5 linked regions of the Solanum lycopersicum genome follow. The protein of the gene in region 4 binds, or shares a complex with, the protein of the main gene of each other region. Links are inferred from orthologs where the notes say so. Each region holds a gene or a part of one and is shown on either strand. Other genes may lie near its edges. The genes, in order: RAN GTPase-activating protein 1, WPP domain-interacting tail-anchored protein 1, myosin-15, WPP domain-interacting protein 1 and RAN GTPase-activating protein 2.

The links.
Region 1: WPP domain-interacting protein 1 (region 4) and RAN GTPase-activating protein 1 share a complex: the UniProt entries of both Arabidopsis thaliana proteins name them as parts of the ran complex. The link is inferred for Solanum lycopersicum from reciprocal best matches to the Arabidopsis thaliana genes WIP1 and RANGAP1.
Region 2: WPP domain-interacting protein 1 (region 4) and WPP domain-interacting tail-anchored protein 1 share a complex: the UniProt entries of both Arabidopsis thaliana proteins name them as parts of the ran complex. The link is inferred for Solanum lycopersicum from reciprocal best matches to the Arabidopsis thaliana genes WIP1 and WIT1.
Region 3: WPP domain-interacting protein 1 (region 4) and myosin-15 share a complex: the UniProt entries of both Arabidopsis thaliana proteins name them as parts of the LINC complex. The link is inferred for Solanum lycopersicum from reciprocal best matches to the Arabidopsis thaliana genes WIP1 and XI-I.
Region 5: WPP domain-interacting protein 1 (region 4) and RAN GTPase-activating protein 2 share a complex: the UniProt entries of both Arabidopsis thaliana proteins name them as parts of the ran complex. The link is inferred for Solanum lycopersicum from reciprocal best matches to the Arabidopsis thaliana genes WIP1 and RANGAP2.

What each region holds. Positions count from the first base shown.
Region 1 is NC_090808.1:59,911,041-59,914,996, reverse strand, and holds the start of RAN GTPase-activating protein 1, read left to right. Parts: upstream 1-1,151; 5' UTR 1,152-1,436; intron 1,437-3,956. UniProt on the Arabidopsis thaliana protein: GTPase activator for the nuclear Ras-related regulatory protein Ran, converting it to the putatively inactive GDP-bound state. Plays a role in spatial signaling during cell division.
Region 2 is NC_090801.1:52,969,672-52,972,954, reverse strand, and holds part of WPP domain-interacting tail-anchored protein 1, read left to right. Parts: intron 1-397; coding exon 398-1,500; intron 1,501-2,666; coding exon 2,667-2,855; intron 2,856-3,149; coding exon 3,150-3,283. UniProt on the Arabidopsis thaliana protein: Together with WIT2, required for the nuclear envelope docking of RANGAP proteins in root tips.
Region 3 is NC_090807.1:50,288,947-50,293,188, forward strand, and holds the start of myosin-15, read right to left. Parts: upstream 2,804-4,242; 5' UTR 2,660-2,803; coding exon of another isoform or gene 2,614-2,659; 5' UTR 2,417-2,613; coding exon 2,297-2,416; intron 2,210-2,296; coding exon 2,066-2,209; intron 1,157-2,065; coding exon 1,011-1,156; intron 922-1,010; coding exon 765-921; intron 1-764. Other genes in the region: uncharacterized protein, read left to right, coding at 2,614-2,659. UniProt on the Arabidopsis thaliana protein: Myosin heavy chain that is required for the cell cycle-regulated transport of various organelles and proteins for their segregation.
Region 4 is NC_090809.1:846,334-850,347, reverse strand, and holds the start of WPP domain-interacting protein 1, read right to left. Parts: upstream 2,806-4,014; 5' UTR 2,461-2,805; intron 1,914-2,460; 5' UTR 1,834-1,913; coding exon 813-1,833; intron 1-812. UniProt on the Arabidopsis thaliana protein: Mediates and enhances the nuclear envelope docking of RANGAP proteins mediated by WIT1 and WIT2 in the undifferentiated cells of root tips.
Region 5 is NC_090800.1:74,925,831-74,929,847, reverse strand, and holds the start of RAN GTPase-activating protein 2, read right to left. Parts: upstream 2,807-4,017; 5' UTR 2,712-2,806; exon of another isoform or gene 2,663-2,711; intron 1,790-2,662; 5' UTR 1,779-1,789; coding exon 126-1,778; 3' UTR 1-125. UniProt on the Arabidopsis thaliana protein: GTPase activator for the nuclear Ras-related regulatory protein Ran, converting it to the putatively inactive GDP-bound state.

The sequences.
Region 1 (3,956 bases), on a different chromosome or scaffold from region 4:
CATTCAATGGAAGCAGTGCAGGAACATAAAGGAAATAACATAAATAAACATCACGGAGATAGTCACGTAAACAGAATGCATATTTAAAAAACATCAGACACAAGAGGAAGCATAAAGCACAAATATTTCAAGATGAAGTATGCTTCTTAGAGGGAAGTAAAATTGAGCAAAACAAAGCTACAAATAGAGTTTCTAGCTATAAAAGAAACTTTAATATAAAGGGGGCTTGTTGGTCAAATTATTTGAGTTGGGAGTTAATGACACCAGGAATAAACGGAACATCAAGCGCACAATCGGAGTCAAATATGAGCAAAAACGAAGCCCACCTATGATCCCTTGGGACTACACCTCGATCTGAAAGGGAACGAGAATCAGTAGCTCATACACGAAAGAAAAAGAAGGATATAAGGACGAAAATCTTACATGTAAGCAAGGAGGGCGGTAGAACTTCAAAGGCATTCAAGGAGCTAGATGGAATGATACCACGTCAAAAATCACAAAGATTACTTGGTCAACCATGAAGGAGACAACTTAGAAACGGCGGAGAAAGGATGGAAATGGGGTAGGGTTTTAAGAAAGTCAAGTGAAAGGATAGTTGATGGAAGAGTTTTGGAAACTCTACATATTATTTCCTTTTGGACCCGGGTACTACTTTTTGGGCCAAGTCATTTGTTGTTTCATGTACTAATCGGGCATTAGCCTACACTAATAAGATGATCTTCTATCAAAAAATTAATTTTAAAAAACATTTTAGTGAATTATGATTATACAAAGTAATAAAAAATCTTAATCGAACATACCAAGAGGTTGCTAAGATATCGGAGATAACAATATTAGATTAAACCATCATAAGAATCAATAATAGATTCAAATACAAACATCTACTGCAATTTAAAATAATTCCCCAAAATATCAATAGGTAATGATGACCTTTTGTGGATATTTTCAGATTAATAAAAGAGATCATAAAACTCTAGATGAGGAATTCAACGGCTCAGGGGGAAAGAGAACCATGAATAGAAAAATCCCAAGTTGAACGATTGTTATAGAGTTTGAGAGCGAGAAAACAATTAAACAGATGAATATTTTTAAATATTAAAAAGAAATAGAATAGAAATGAGATTTAACGAGTGTAGTATAAAAAACTTTACACTATAGTGCACACAAGTTAATTCTCCTATTTCAAATAGTTAAAAGAATAATTTTGGCCCTTTTTGTGGCTTAAAAAAAGGGGCATTTTCCCTCCAAATCGAATTCCTCAAAAATTCACGACAGCAGCACACGACTATCATGATTGCACATAACTTGTATTTGAATTAGTTTTAATTATCTCTTTATCTTTACTCCAACTCCACGTCTCTCTCCCCTCTCTTTTCTAGGGTTTTTTGGATCTCTCTCTTATCCCACTTCGCCACTTCTAGGGTTTCTTCCAACCAGTAAGTTTCCTCTTACTCCTCTCTGTTTACATTCATTCATGAAGATTTTAGGTCTGATTTTGTTTTGTATTGTTCCATTTGTCTATTCCTTCAATTATGGTTGCATTTCCTTCTTTTTTTTCATCATTTGAATGATATTTTCTGCTTCGTTTTAACGAATACTGAGACTCACTTTTAAGTATTTGAATTAGAATATAGTTTATGTTTCAGTGTAGATTTTGATGGAGTTCAATGAGTTATGCCTCAAATCTTAGAATAGTTGATGTAGACAATGTGAATCATTTGTATCTGTTCTGCTCTATGTGTGCCAGTTTTTAGTTTTGTTTAGTATATTTAGAAATGGACATTGAAGGGAAATGCATTTTTTAATGATGGCCTTAAGGATGAAGGTGTTTGGTTGGATTTTGTTTGTACTAAAATGGAAGAAATGTGATATAGTGGGATTTGTGAACTCTTATTCATGGCTCTGCTGGTTACACTTATTCCTTAAGACCTTCAGTGGCAAGTATTATTGTTTTTGTTTTTCTGTAGTACTCTGTAGAAAACTTGAGAAGTCCCAGTGATTTGAAAGAGGCATGCTTAGTTCTTGATGGCTCCTTCTATCTAACAACGCCGGACAAATGAAATAGTACAAAATTTGTTTTGATTCCGTGATCGATCAATCTTCGTCTTCAAGAGGAAGGGAGTGAGGGAGAAGCAAAAGATGGAGTCTTTAGTCCTGTGGCTATCTGAAAATTTTCCCATTAATCAACACAAAATGCCAATAAATCTATTTCTTATTTTCTCTTGAATTCTATTTGAATTATTGCTTGATGCAAGGGAAAAACCAAATGCTATAAACTCAAAAACTTTGAGATATGAACTCAAAAACTTGCTCGAACCTTGACTAATTCCATGTGGTACCTTCTACCTTCACCAACACAATTACCAGTTAACTCTGTCAACCAAGGCTTAAACAAATAAGAAGAAATCACCTAGTGTTTTTGCTGCTGATGGAAAATGAACTCATGATCTCATGGTTCTCAACCCCTTTCCTTGACCACTGGGACACACCCTTGGGTGCCTCAAGCATAATGAGTTTTTGTGTGATATTTGCTCACAAACTTTAGAAATTACTTTGGGAAGTAAAAGAATAGTCATCTTGAATCATGGATAGTAGCTTATCATAAAAGTGCATTTTCTTTTTATTTGGAGATGAGATGGCAGCAAAAATGGAATAGTTCACCACCTTTTGTGAGCCTTTTGGCCCTCTACAAAAGGGAAACAATAATACTTCAATAGATTAATCGAGCTCTTAGCCTTCTAATGGTAAGTGCTTAGATTTGCTCAACTGACAAGATATAACGGTTAAAAGTCTGAAGTCAACTTCCTTTTTTGGATCAAATATATGATTTATCATTTAGTTAAATACATTGTATTTGGTGCACAGGGGAGATGTTTCGTTTGAGGAAGATATTACCTTATTGCACCAGTGTGATGCTTGTATGTAATTTTAACTCTTGTGTCTGTGTTTTGCAACTTATGACCATGACCTGAATGTCAATATGCACGATCCTTACTGTTATCATATGACTAATATCATTTTAGAAGTCTTGCATTTATTGGTCATTCTGCTAGTGCAGTGAGATAAAATAAATCTGCTGATCAAGTGACTGCAAACAAGATGCCATCTGTACTTATTTTATGTGCATTGCAGCACCTCAGCTGAAAAGCTTGGAAGGTGCTGAGAAAAGACAAGAAATTGGAACAATTTAATATTAACTGACGTCAAATGTCAGAACTCAGAACTGTTTGTTGCTACTTGCTTGTTGTGGGACAACTCATGTTTATTATCCTGAGGATATATACTTGTAAGAAACATTATTCAAATGATAGACTATGGAAGAAATCTTCCTTTTTCTTTGAAACTCAAAAGTAACAGTGCTGTGTGGAAAATAGCGAAGCTTGTTGCTGATAATGCTTGGTGGTTAATTGTTAGTCTTGTTTCCCATAGTACTTTCTTGTGGAAAGTACCACTAGGCAGGTGCGGATCCACATAGAGCTTCGGTGCTCGAGCACCCATGGACCCCTACGTGAAATGTATATAGGTATATAAAAAATACTATGCAACCTATATAATTAATTAGTAAGCACCCGTTAAATAACTGTTGGATGTGACTCGTTGGTTAGTAAGTGGGTGCTGAAGCTGTGGTACCGCAGGTCACGAGATTGATCCTCCACAAGTAATTTTTATATACTTATTAAGCTGTCTAATTTTCTATGTTTAGCATAAGATATTCACGAGTGTAAGAGATGTTATTATTACTCATTTTAATTTTAAAATGCGAAAAGTCGTCGAGTACATTATAATTTGACTCAGTCTTCTTTCCCGATAGTAATATTAAACATGACTTTTGCGTTAATGTTTTTCACTATTGTGTTTAAATAGTATTTGCACTTGTACTAAATGAACAGTAAAATTTAATGTTAAAAAAAGTGAAGCACCTACTAACTTCAGATCCTTGATCCGCCACTGCCTCA
Region 2 (3,283 bases), on a different chromosome or scaffold from region 4:
TCTCTGGACTTGAAATTTGAACCTGGGACCTCAAGGTGCTCAATTCATTTCATTGATCACTAAGCGACACCCAAGTGGATGCGTGTCCTTTCATGTTGAGCAGTATTTGGTGTTTTATGCTCTACGCAATTTACTTATCCCACAAACCTTTTCGATGCTGATTGACCACCCCTTTGGATAATATATGGAAAAAGGAAGATAGAGGAGAAAAGAAGAATGTCTGCAAATATTAATGATTTTATTTCTTCTAGCCATGCATGTCTGGACAAGGAAATGTGAATTGGTTCTCTCTGCATGAGGCGTTTTGTTGCTATTATGTGCTTGACTTAAAACAAGTAACTTTTGTGACATTAATCATCCTTATATAATCATACTTCATGCTGATGCATCTTGACAGGGCAAGATGGCGAGGCAGCAGACTATTTTAACAGTGATGCACTTTTAACTCCAAAGACGAAGATAAAAATGCAGACTGTTGAGCAGCAGAGACACATTCTGCGGATGCTGGAGAAGTCTTTGGCCAGAGAGTTAGATCTTGAAAAGAAGCTTACTGAATCTAGACAAGTTGAAGAAGAATTAGAAGTCAGGTTGCAGCAAGAAGCTTTCTGCATGGAGGAAGAAATTGAAGATGCTTCGCAAAGGTTGTTTGAGGGAGAGAATGCTGCTGAAGTTCTTTTAGGAATTTCAAAATCACTACTGGGTCGACTCCAGATGACACATTTTAATCTGAACGGTACTGTTCAGAAAGAAAGCTACTTACAATCTAAACTTCAAGAAATGGAGGAACATTTAAAAGCAAAAGACAACTTACTAGGGAAGTCTGAAAGCACTTCTAAAGAGCTCGGGGACAAGGTTAAATCTCTTGAGAAACGGTTGGAGGACTCTGAGTTCCAGCTGTCCAATACAACATCTGCAAGGAATAGTCAGGAGATAGAATCTAAGATCCTTGAAATGGAGGATATAATCAATACGTTGAAGGAAAAGAATTCTGAAGCAGAGAGAAGAATTGATACAGCAGAAACTGAGTGTAAAATATTGAAAGAAGCAAATGTGGAACTTGACAAAGAGCTGAACTTCCTGAAAAGCAGTAGTAGCATTACTTCTGAGAGGATAATTGTGCTTGAAAAACAGCTGAGGAACTCTGAGCTTCAACTTCAGCACGCAGTTGCATCTGCTGAAGCTAGTCAAGAGAAGCAAATCATGTTGAATTCTACAATCAAAGACATGGAAGATTTGATTGAGGATCTAAAATCAAAGGTTTCTAAAGCAGAAAGTTTGATGGAGAGTGCTGAAGATAAGTGCATTATCTTGTCAGAATCTAACTCAGATCTTAATGAAGAATTAACTTTTGTGAGGGGTAGGTTGGCATGTTTGGAGTCATCGTTACGCCAAGCTGAGGAAATGAAGAAGGCTACTGCCCGAGATATTAACTTCCGCAGTAAATTGATAACAGATCTAATTTTGCAGTTGGCTCTTGAAAGAGAGAGACTTGAAAAACAGGTTTGTCACTCCTTCCTGACTCTCATTCCTGTTATGACTGGAATTATCTTGATAACATGTACGACTTCCCTTTTCCTCCATCTATCCAGTTATTTTGAGTTTTTTTGTCTATTGACATGGTTAATGGCCTTAAATGCCGATTGATGACTGCGTAATTGAATACCAGTTATTAATCTGAAGCAGCCTAAATTATGCCTAATTATGAGATGGCATTTGGATAAGACGAAGTTTTGTGTCAAAAAAAAATATATTTATTATTCATGCACTTTGGTGGAATCTTAGCAGCTTCATTATTTTAATGACTTCTAAAATGCAGTTGTTGTGTGTGCAAGCTTGTCTGTATAGTTGATGCATTTTGTCCTTTTCCTTTTTTTACTTGTTTTAGCAGCAATATCTGTTCATTCGATCGAGTTTGACATTTTCTCGCTCTGAATTTAGTCAACTTTTCAGAGTTCGTGACCATATAGATCACACTGTAATCGTTAGAAGTATTTCTTACTGATAATGTATATGCATAGACGCGCACACAGACCCCATGCACACATTTTCTTGTTTGATAAACAAGTATTTTAAACGTCAGGTATTCTTGAGTTTCCAATGATCTCTACAGGTTCACATATTCGGGTTTTATCCTTCCTATAACACTAACACTTGTACCACTTCCAGTGGCTTCTTTCACTGAGCAAAAACAGTCATGGTCAAAGGAAAGGAATGAAAGTGGGCTGAAGCAGCGCAAGTCTGTGCACACTTGAAAGTTTTAATGGTGTTTGTTGATAATTATTACAGCAACCTCCCGTTGCAACATTTGCTCTTATTGTAGGAAGAAATTGGCTTAAAAGGAAGAGTTGAACGAGCTATACAAGACGATTTTGACCATTATTAAAAAAATTTGCTCTATATTAAAATTAGTTAGTCAGATTTTCAAAATAGTTGTTTTTATAAGTAGAGTATGAGTTGTGCTTAACTTGTGACAAGTTATTCAGTTTCCAGCTTGGCCTTTTGTGGTTAAAGTTGGTTATTCTTTCCTGCATGACTTCTTCATGGAAGAGAGTTCATTTGGACTAAATGTTAGAACAAAAGCATTGTTTGAAGACTATTAAAACATGGACGTAATTGTATAATTTTTCTCATCTAGATTAGTGTTTTTTCTGCAAAAAAATGTTCAGATAGCATTGCTGATAATGGAAAATAAGGCCCAGAAGAAGCCTTTTCAGCAAAAGGATAAAGTTCCTTCGCCAGCTCCCGAAAGTGATGGCAAAGATACCAGGGAATCCATGCTTCCCAAGGCTGAGCTTTCTGCTGTAACTTCTCTGAATAAATGCAAGGAAGAAAAGTTCTCATCAATAACTAATGTGGTACGTGCTTTATTTGGTCTTATGCTTATTTTTATTCACGACTCACGAGTCATATGTTCTTCTGGTTATTTCAGTATTTGAATTTACTATTTTAGATACCAGTCAACTATTATATTTTGATGCTGTACATCCCATCATCAGCCAAATAACCTTAGCTGTGTGCCTGTGCCTATAAGTGAAAAGATCTTGAGTACTTTGTTTTACTCAAAGCTTAACTTATCTGGTTGACAACTTAGCAAAGGAAAGATGCCTAACTCTGTTGTGGCACCATTGTTTCTGTTAATTCATTTTCAGGAAGAGAATGTTTATGGTGACTTTATGTCGATCAAGTCAAAAGAGACTGATTCTTCAACCAGACTTGATGCCTCGCGGGACATAGATGCAAGGCAGCTTAGTTGGAAGTATGTCCTTGCAGCAGTTCTCGTGTT
Region 3 (4,242 bases), on a different chromosome or scaffold from region 4:
TGCATACAACTATAGTGGATCTGAGAACGGAATTTATTTACAAAAAGAAGAAGAAACTTGTCAAATTGGAAATAGGACGGTCTCAACTTGGAGAAGGAATGAACTAATGAACGCAATGACATAGAGACAATAAATGATAATAAAGGTATTTATACTGCCAAATCTAGCTATAAAACTTTATTTTCTATACAACAAGGAAGAGGGGACTGTAGAAGGCAATCTGGGAAAGCAAGGCACCTCCTAAGGTGGCACACTCTTGGTGGATTGCAATCAACAAAATTTGCCTCTCATGGGATAACCTAATGAAGTGGAGTATTTTACTGCAAAATAGATGTCATATAGGTGAAGTTGAAGAAAAAACTATAGCTAATTTCCTCCATAGCTCATAAAGAAGAATGTTGTCTGTACTCTGACCGATTGGAAACTGCACTTTCTAGGTATTTGGTAAATAATAAGTCATACCTGACTGCTACTGTCAAGTTTTTTATAATATTAAAAATAAAAATTGCTCTCATTAACAGAGACAACAATAGTCCTAGAAAAAATAGTACATGAGATTAAGTAATTGAAAAAGACATTCTAATGAAGCTAATAGATCACCAAGCAATCAGTCTTCAGTGGGAGACGCTCTATGTTGACATGCCGAACAAAAATTGACACCCTTCTAAGAAAATAACAGAAAAGACCCTATAATTGAAATTCCTAAAGTTGCAAACAAAATCACCATTTGATGTTATGCCTATAAAACCAGTAAGCAGCAGTACCTCGAGAACTTGTTGTTCAACTGTTCGGTCATCAGCAGCAGCACGACCACCAACATAGGTAAGGTATTGCATTATCAACTTTGTGGTCTCTGTTTTCCCTGCTCCACTTTCGCCGCTAACCAATATAGATTGGCTTTGGTTCTCAGACATCATAGCCCTGACAAGGAAAATTTGAGCAAAAACAAATCACTAATTGATTCACTTTAGGAAAAAGTCACCAGATCCCCAAATGACAAGTCAACAAACCTGTACGATGCATCAGCCACAGCAAACACATGAGGGCTAAGCTCACCAAACGGAGCTCCTTTATATTGCTCCATCATGTGTACATTGTACAGATGTGGAAGTTTAGTGAATGGATTGACAGCTATTAAGATACTTCCTGTATATGTCTATTTAAGGAAAAAAGAGAGAAATCAATTATGTTGCAACGCACCCTGTAGGATGATGGTGTTAGAGCATATAAGAAAATGGTTATTAAAGCTAATGAAGACAAAAAATGCACCTGGTGAAACCCAACCAGGCGAATGATGATTCTTAAATAACGAACGTAATTTGATAACAGTAGCTTTTGGTTCAACATTTAGGTGAGCACAACATATGTCAAAATCCATGATCAAGATATTTTAGAAGCAGTCACAAGAAATAGCTTTCACTCTTTCCTCACCAAAATATTATCAAGGACATACTTAGACAAATATTGCAAACACACTGCAGTGATCTAGGGGGGGAAATCAATCTACTATAGTGAATAAAAGTCAATAAAGTGTCTTAATACCCATTTTCGTCGAATAACAAAGGGACATTCAGAACAAGGTATTTACTATTCATCTATCAGAGCCAACGTAGAACCCCGAACTATACCAAAATTGGCACTGGTTGATTCTGGAGTTTAATTATCTTATTGCTAGAACTCTAAATGGGTTATAAAAGGAACTATTTTAGCAAACTTTTTTACTTCTTTTTTTGTACATAGACATCACAAAGAATCACAATGCTTCAAGAAATAAGATAAGGAACCTTTATTTTAATTGTGATGCATTTTGTTTTCATTCCTCCTTCAAAGCAAACAGTATACAATCAGTTGCGGTAGCCCCCCCCCCCCACACACACACACACACCAGTTCCATGCCCAAAGCATCCTTCTTAAAACAGTAATTAATGTTAGAAGTGGCATCTTAACTACGTGAAGACATGATACTCTTATCAATATAAAGATCCTAGCTTTTTCTTAATTTATACAGTTGGAAGATATTGTGTATATAAAAAGAAATACCAAGAATTATAAATTCACAACTCACATAAATTTCATTAAGACCATATCTTCTCTGAAGGTTGTCTAAAACTCCAGGCTCATTCAAATAAGTCAATTTGGTCATATCATCAACCCCTCCATGGTCTGCCTCTTCATCCCTTGGATACAGCTTCTCCGGTGATGACAATACCTAAAAAAACAAAATTCAGTCACATTTTCCATCAACCCATTTGACCAAAATTAACAGAGAAAATTCATAACCAAGTGTTCGTCTCACTTTCTTGCCATATTCAGTAACCACTTGGACTTGTTTACCAATAAAATCAGTCACTTGAGCAGCAACCCAAGCGGAACTTTTGTCTTCGACCCATACATTAGAACCCTTTCGTAGTGTCATATTATGGGTTTGGATTAGCTTAAATTGACATGAAAGAAGAACAACAACTGGTTTCAGTGAAAATTTGGGGATTTTTCGGATTTGATATTTGAATTGGTTTCAGCAATACGCAAAACCCTAGAGAGAGAAAGAAAAAAGGACGATAACAACAAAGAAGAAGAGGTTGATTATTTCAGCTTCCCGCCCTAAAACCAAAAATGGAGAATCTGACAGAGTCCAAATTTTTGGCTCTCAGTTCCCAGCGTTATCTTAAGAATATTTACTAAACGGGAAACTTATAGCTCCACATTTACACTTTGAGGTACTACTTTTTCAAAACTTTCTTATTTTGGGATTTGATTGCTTAAGCACCTATTCTGTTGTAAAATTACATAAATTAATAAATTTTAAAAATAATTATTGATTATTAGCAATATTTTTTGTTTATTATTATTTATAGCAATATTATGTTATATTTGTAATATATATTAAAAGTAAAATTATTTATGCAATATATATGAATTTATAATTATTTATTGAAATATATCATATTTGTTTGATAAAAAATTGTCACATTATTTTATAAGTGTATTAAAATGTGTGATAAATATATCATTCATCACTAGAATTTATATTATATGTGAATAATAAATTATTGTTTATAATATTATATTAATTAATTAAATAATCAAGTGAAAAAAAATTATTACTATAAATAATAAAAAAGAAAATTATTATAGTATATTTACTTTAAGTTTCACTTATGAGTTTATGACCATACTTGTGAATCTTGTTAATAGTGGGACGGCAACCTAAATCATACTTCATTCCCTAGGGTATTTTAACTTTTATATTTAATTTAAAAATAAATTATTTTTTTATTAATTAAGAAAGTATTAATTGTTCTCTTTCAAATTTATCCTTCCATAGATAAATGAGATGAAAACTAATTTGAACATGTGATTTAAAGTTGATTCTATCTCATAATTTTATATTATACATAAAAATTTAAATTCTCCAAAATTTATGATTTGAAATTTTCCAAATACAAAAACTGATTACAAGTTTTATATTTTTTTTAAAAAAAATTGTATTTAATTTATATATATTTACTAGCTTTTTATTTTATATGTAAATAAAATTTATAATTCTTATCATTACTTATTAAACCATTTATATTCTATATAACGAATATTTTCGTTAATATAAAATCTTTGTTTACTTCAAATCAATTCTTAATTTATCATTTATATTCACCAAATTGATTATTTTAAATTAAATTTATTACGACTTCATCTAATCAGTGTTTATTAATAATAAAAAGTCATCATTATATTGAGTGGACATGACTAATTATTGCGGCTTTAATTGAGCAAATTTTTTTCTTAGCTACTAACAACTTGAATACTAAACTTATGTTCAGTTTATTTTTATTGAATTAAGGTTAGATCCATAAATGTTGTATCTTTACAATAGCTTTGTGATAATATATTGTACAATTTTATAAATTTTTATTTGTTTGGTAAGATTGTATAAAGAATGGGATAATTTTAATAGTTTACAACTTGTAATTTTTTATGTTTATTAAAAAACATACAATATAAAAAGTTCAAACTGCATATTCAAACAAAACTTCAAATATGTCTCATAATTTTATGTTATGATTTCATATCATAACTTTAAATTGTGGTTTCATATCACATGGCCAAATGGACCTTTAAATAAGGGAGATGTCATTGGGATTGTAATCTCGCTAAATTAATATAAATGAGACCATGAAATATTATTATTTTATAAAAGTATTATTTAATTGATAAATTAATATTGATTAATTTAAAGAATGTTTT
Region 4 (4,014 bases):
TTGGCTATTCATGCCTTAAATTGGACAGAATTATCTCTCCTCCAAAACCTTTTTTGTGGTAAAAAATAGAACAGAACATGTTAATTACAGCCAATGAAAATGCACGTCCTGGTGCTTAAACTACATATCTTGAGCAAGCCAACAATATCAAAATAATAAATAGCAACACATTTATCCACCTTCAATGTTGCAATATCAGAATTTATTATAACAAATAGATATCAACTTTTCAAAGAGTATAACCAATATTTCATCATAAAAAAATAAAAAAAAGCATAACCAACATCTGTTGTACTAGCTACGAACAAAGTTAAAGGATTATTTTAGGCAAACTGAAGAACTTAATGGTATTGTTTCAATAACCTTAACTCTTTTGACATAATCTTGATTCTTGAAGCAATAAATGCATCATAGCGAAAACCATTAGAACACACTCAAATCCTTCTATTATGTACATAACCATTAAGATTACCAATACTACATCAGATCGAATTTCATGACTTGCTGTCACCTCTTCCTGAAGCAATGCCAGTCCTAAATTCTTGGGCATGACAACAAAATGTTCAAATTTGGGGAAAGCAGGGACGCGTCCGGGTCGCGGGGTGTGGGGACGTCGCACATAACTATGCAATGACTGCAATCATTCTAATACTTCTTTGAACTTAGAATAAACTTCCACCCAAAAAAGAAATTTGCTTCATACAATATGCTGAAGACTCCAAGCAGAAAATAGAAGGCATAATCAAAACCAAAAAAAGAACATACTAGAATAGGCTCAAAATCGTATACTTCAAAGAAAACTGAAGATCTACCTCTTTCAAGATTTTCCTGAGCAGCTTGAAGGGTGAAGATAGACTCCAGCAGAGGATCATGATCTGTGGACAACCCCTGATACCCACTCCTCTCTTCTTTAACCTCCCAGGCGGATTCAACGCCTAGATCTTCTTGAGTTTCACACTCCTTATCATTTCTTCTGTCTAGAGCAGTCTGAAGTTCCTCGCTGAATGGTCTTTCTCTGGTGAGAACTTCATCACTGAATTGTCCATCATTATTCACTGAGCTTCCACCTTTCATACCATTACTTGTTGCATGATTATTACTCTGCATAGGTAGAAAATTGGAGCTTTGTGAGTCGGATTCCATGCTTGAATGAGAGTTTTCCTTCTCTATTTTGACCCTTTCTCCTCTAGGCTTTTTACTAATTTCAGCCTGACCCTTTCCCCGATGAGATTGCTGAGCTGAAGTACCCATCTTCCCACCCAAAGTACCTGGCCCATTCTTAACAGGCATATAACCATGGAAAACAGGTGCTTCGTACCTTGACTTTGGAGCACTGGCTGCAGTCGAAGACCTACTACTCCGATCCTCACTATTTTCCGAGTCTGTTCCACCCAAAAATATAGGATGAATCGCCAACCCAGAATTACCAATAAGACCAAAGCCATCAACAAGAACATCAGGGCTACCCAATAGTGCATTTACTGAAGAAACAGATCCATCACTATTTCGGATCGATCCAGTGGACAAATGTACAGGTTTTGCTGAGTTTGCAGCAGAGCTCGACAAACCACGCTTCAACAACTTAGCATTGTCTGTGTTACTGTCCTCATCCTTGTGTGCTTCCCGCCTGATCCTCCTCCATTTCTTCAAGCCAAATCCTTTAGCTGTTGGTGAGGATTTCACTGAGGGAGGTGAACCCACTGGGTCCGCAGTTTCAATACCTTTACCTTTAGACTCATCTAAAATAGGGGTATTGTGATTAATAACACTGGAACCATTGCTTTCAACCTTGTTCCGATCTGGATCATCCAAATCTTGAAGTGTGGTGGTCATTGCTTCATGTCTTCCACCAACTAAAGCTCCAAACTTTGACCAATCAAGTTCGATTACAGCATAAAGTTCAGGGTTTTAGCCTTTTAGACAACATAAAGAAGAAGAATAAGTCAGATCGAGATCGAGAATTTACTTACATAACTTGGATAAATGAATTGGATTATCCGATCATTACACTAACAGCAACAAACTAATTGGATTTAGCTAAACAAATCATCACTATCGATTATACTCAATCTGGAACCAAAGATGAATCCAGTAAATTGATAATGAACTGAATAGACAAATAAAAGTTGGGAAAGCGACAGAACACTACATAAACAGAAAGTCCAATATAAGCAGATTAAACTGCACTCATTATTAAATGAAAAAAACAGAAATGAAGAACTCAGATCAAGATCGAGAACAAACAAACAACCATCATTCCAGTTCATGGAAACTGAAAATCTATCAAAATTCACTATAAATTGAATTGCATAGCTTGAGTAAAAATTCCAGCTAAAAACACTAACAACAACAGCAAAATAAGTGGATTCAGCTAAATGAATGGATTATGCTCAATTTGGAACTAAAAATGAATTCATAAATTTGTGAAGCTATATAAAAAGAATACGAAATCGTTCATACCTTCTCCTCCATGATCGATGGATTTGCAGAAATGAGATGGAATTGAGGAATATGGAAACCCTAGATTTGATGTGGATTCAGAAATTTATAGCCACAAAATTGCTACAACTGATAATTTGGGGAAGACGACTTGAAAAGGAGTGGGGTAGATCGGGTCGGGTTGGGAGTTGTTAATAATACGTAATTGATTATTATTATTTTCAATAATTTTATTAATTATTATATGAACTATAGGAAGAAGTTGACAACTTCAATTTTTTTTTCTAATTTACTATTGACATTACGAAAGATTAAGAATTTGGGGGATTACTTTATGTTTGCGATGGAATCACTACACAATAACTCGATATTTATGATGCACGATTTGAAATTTCAATAAGCAATAAACTCGCTTATTATTATCTTCCACTTAAATTTCTAACTTGATGTTTAAAATTCATAACGTGTATAACTCATAGTCACAATATATTCTATATCTAAGTGCAATATCACTAAGAAAGGTCGAATATTAGTAGTGCACGATTTGAAATCTCGATAGAAGATTATACTTTTTAACTTAAATACCAAATGTGACCGTTTCATCAACAACATTGTTTTGTTTGGTACAAATGTGATAATTTCTATAACATGCTATTACACAACGGTAACCAAAATTAAAACGTTAGCTTAACTTATTATATCAATCAAATCATTAAAAATATATATATAAAAAGAAATCATATTAGTTTTGTAAAAATTTAACACAACCAATTTGATTTAATTGGTTAAAAACTATTCTTTGTACTTATTTTTTATAATGAATAAAGTTGTGTTAGTCCACGTGAAATATTTCCTTTAGATTAATGAACTAAGTTAAGAATTATGCAAGTATCGAATATAAATTTTGTAATATCTTTTCATTTGTACATAACTTTATGTGAAAAAAGTTTACATATATGTATTGATGGGAGGTAAAGATTAGTAGATATCTTATTAAAATATAATCGAGATACGTATAAACTAACTCAGACGTCACGATTATAATAAAAGGATGTGGATAGAACATGGGAGAGCCAAGAAGATAAAGAGACCAAAGTGGGGCAAAGTAGTGTGCAGATGATGTGGAAACCCACATGATGCAGTGTTTTTTAGGGGAAAAAAATGGAAAATGACACTGCAGAAATAACTAAGTGGAGGTCAAATCTGTGTGTTCAATTATTGATGGAATCTTCTTTGTGTGAGAGGAAATAATTAGGCACTTTGCCAGAGTATTTGACAGAGAAACATGTTGCATTTAATTGTTACCTTCCCATATATTTGTATTTTCAAAAACGATCTCTCTATCTTCACGAGTAAGATCTATATTTATTTTTGAAAAACGATCTCTCTATCTTCACGAATAAGATCTACATTTATTTTCAAAAAAACAAAAGAGTTCTCTTCGAATAAATGGATTGTTCTATCTTTTTGTTTCCTTCAATAAGGAACACTTCACCTCATGGCAATTTCCAACACGAATCCAAATTAATTGATTCTAAAGCTAATATTGTACCTCGAGTGACAACAAAAGAGGTA
Region 5 (4,017 bases), on a different chromosome or scaffold from region 4:
TTAAATTACTGATGGAACTATATGTTAGAAGCACTTGCTGGAGGAACATAATATGGCCAGCTTAGCATAAAGAAAATGGTAAAACTAAAACTGCCACATGCAGAAAAATCGTCAAGTACTGGATTCTAATTGCTATCTGGTGCGTGTGCGTCAACACTTGCCTCTTGCTTGACGTCCAGGTTTTTCAGTTTTGATTCTAGTTCATCCTCAACGTCCTCATCTCCAGATTCTTTCTCCTCGTCACCCTCGTCTTCTCCTTCCGGGTCATTATCTTCCAGGGATGCAAGCATTTCAGGAGATTTCTTGAAGATCTCTTTCAACTCGTCAACGCCTTCTTCTGAGATGAAATTCCCATTAACATTTAGTAATTTAAACTCATCTTTCTGCAGCACAGTTTGAGCCAGCACCCTAGCCCCAGCCCTCCTTAGTGCATTGCTGCTCATATCAACTTCAGTCAGATGTTTGTGTCCTTCCAATGCCTTGGCAATCTGAATTACACCTTCATCCTTGAGTTCATTCTCACCCAAGCTTAACTTGGCAAGAAGCTGCTTTGCAGCTATACAAGAAGCTATTGCTGAAGCAGCTTCAGCAGTTATATCATTACCTGCCATCTCCAAGACAGCAAGTGAAGGGGCTGAATCTTTAAGAGCGTTAGCTATTGCAATTGCTCCTTCATCCTCTAAATTAAGGTAGCTCAGGTAAATTTCCTTAAGATTTTCATGTTGGCTGAGTGCCTTGCTCAACACAAGACCAACTTCTGGACCAAACATATTGTCTCGCAAATCAAGCTTCTTCAAATGGGAGCACATCCCAAGTGCTTCGCACAAGGCACTCCCTCCTTCAGAACCTACCCTGGTAGAAGAGCACCTGAAATCTTCCAATAAAGGAGAGCGCTTCACAATTTCCGCAATCGCAACAGCCCCTTCATCACCAGTCATATTATTATGAAAATGAAGAATTTTAAGCTTCTCGGTGGAAGGAACTAGCTCGCTAACAGCATTTGCAGCTTCCTGTGAAATCCCATCATTCATCAAAAATAATTCTTCCAAGTTGGTTTGAGACTGAAGGAGCTTTCCAAATGCCCTAACTCCCTTCTCACCAAGAGCATTATCAGAGAGATTCAGAAACTTCAAGTTAGAACCTTCTAGAGCTTCTGAGAATATATTCATGACATCAAGTGCTTCAGCCTCATTTCTTCCGGCAACAAAATCTGACAAATCAACTTCCTTCAACTGATCCTTCAAGGTTGCCAAGATAGGGCCTGCAATACGTGCTGCATCTATACCAAAGCTTCTATTGCTGAAACAAATTTTGCTGTAAGAGTTTCCAGGCTCTTTTAATGGCTTTAAAAGTTCTTGAGCCTCTTCCGCTTCAATAAAAGCCCTTTTACCTTTTGAGATATCAAAAAAGGTCTCCTGAACAGTAGGAACTACCTCAGAAATCGAAATTTCCTTGTCCTCTGATTTGGGAGTCTTTTTTAGAATTTCCAGGATAAGCTTGCTACATTCCCTGGCATAAAGTTGCACAGCAGAACTTCCATCACCATCAGGCTCCTTCTCATAATGTTGATTAGCAATGGTAAAAGCTGCATCTTCAATTTCTTCAGCATTTTTGGCAGCCTCTTCCTTGGATAGACTGCGGTACTTGCGGGTGAAAATGGTTGGACTAGAAAGATTATTCGTCATTCTTTCCACCAGCATTTTTCTTGTGTTCTCACTTGGAGGCCACAGTTTAATTGAAAACGGTCTGCGCTGAGAGTTATCTGTTGTGGCATCCATTGGCAGAAAACCTAGAGTGAAAGGAATATAGTGAATCGTGTCTTTAGTTTCTATAGAAAAATAAAGTGATTATCTTTCAAGAAATATAACCACTATAAGATTAAGCTCTGGCAGTTAAAAACATAACAACCAAAAAACAAAGTACCAGGCAAGAAACAATTCGTGCACACCTACAAGAAAAACTTAACATAAAGCGAATCAAATTTCAAGAGCTCAAATTCTTCGTCATAGAAATCAGATATAATTGTTTGACAACTCAATATTTTCGCCACAAAACACCAAGCAGGTGTCTAAAAGAACGGGAAAGTTTCTACAGTCATCCATCATCAAAAACGAGATTGAATTTTCTCTCATTTTATAACCACCTTGCAATGCACCATATTCATATCCAACAATGTAAAAAAAAACTCAAAAACCAAAAATGGTACATTCCCAGGTATATTCACATTTCACACTATAACACAAAAAAACTTTCTAGGATACAAAAAAAAATACCACACATTACCAAGGAATCATATGAGCAGAACAGAGCAACATATATACAATTTACAGAGCCGCTAAAAACACCAGAAACTTGTAATACAAAACAAAAATCCTTCTTTTTCCCCTACAAACAAAGAAATTTCACGAGAAAAATAAAAACTTTATACCTAACAGTGGGGGTTTGTAGAGTGTAGTCCTCCTCCCAGTAATTGCAACCTCTACTCTACCAACCCCAAAATAATAAACATAAAAAAACTACATAAAAGCAAAAACTAAAGCACATTAAACAAGAAAAAATACTAAAATCCAGCACAGATCTGTGAAATCACATGACCAAAAAAGTTGACTCATACAGAGCATAACCGCGAAAACCCTAAAAATCAAGAGAAAAAGAAAATTACTTTTGGGGATTTTTCTAATTACCGTTGGAGTGAGTGTGTTGTAACTCACCGGCAAACAACGAGAGAGAATGTGTGAGTTCGACGCGCCGCCGGAGAGAGTGGAAGTGAAGAAAATCTCAACTGAAAATGAAGTTAGCAATGTGTGCTGTGTGTTGTGTGGGAACAGTGTTTTTATATTCGACTATCTTGTACTCGAGAGATAACCTAATGTAAAAAAAATATATATATATTTTGAATAATAACTTTTTTTCTTAGTTTAAAATAAACAAATCATTCAAAATCAAAGAATTGTTGGATTTCTTTTTCAAAATATTTTTTATTTAATGAGAATAATTATTACAAAATTAAGCTCATAACAATATAGTTATAAATTGAAAATGGCAAGACATGAAGATAAAGGAGATAATTCTTTTTCTATTACGGTGTATTTTATAAGTATGAAATATTTATATTTATAGATTCAAAAAATCACTCATAAAATAATCTATATGTATAACAGGAAAGGTGATAGTGCTTTCGCGTAAGCGCCACAAAAAATAATATTTTTTTAAAAATAAAAGTTATAAATTGTATTTGAAAAAACTCGTGTATTGATAGTTAGTCATAATTATCAATCCATCAATATATATATATATATATATATATATATAGGTGATAGCGCGCCAAAAAAATAATATTTTTTTAAAATAAAAATTATAACATTGTTTTGAAAAAAAATAAGACATGTTTATTGGTAGTTAGTCGAGGGCTTTTAATCTTTATTTTGAAAAAAATAATTGTAATTTTACTTTTTAAAAATATTATTTTTATAGTACCTACGTGTCAACGCTACAAAAAATAAAATTACAAAATTGTATTTGAAAAAAAAAAACACGTATATTATTAGTTAGTCATATGGGGTTTAATTTTTATTTTGAAAAAAATAATGGTTATCCAACTAAAAAGTTTCAAAACTTCCTACTACACTTCTATTTCTACACAAATTGAAATTTTCTAAAATTAAAGTGCTACTCTTTTAACTTTTTCGTGTTTATATTGTCGAATTTAAAAGTGAGAATATAACAAATTTTGTTCACTATATTAATTTATATCTCTTATTATTATTAGATTTTTATCTATCATAAACATAGAAAGCAATAAATTATGTTCATCATAATATTACTTTAAACAATATCATAATTTTAAGCCATTTAGGCTTTAGCAAATTTAAACTATTCACGAGATTATATGATGTTAGTGAGCAATTTAATATGTTAAATATTAATATTAAAATGCTAATAAACTAACATCTAACAAGATTAAATTAAGTTAAAATTTGCAATATAACTATAATTACACGTAATACAATAACGTCT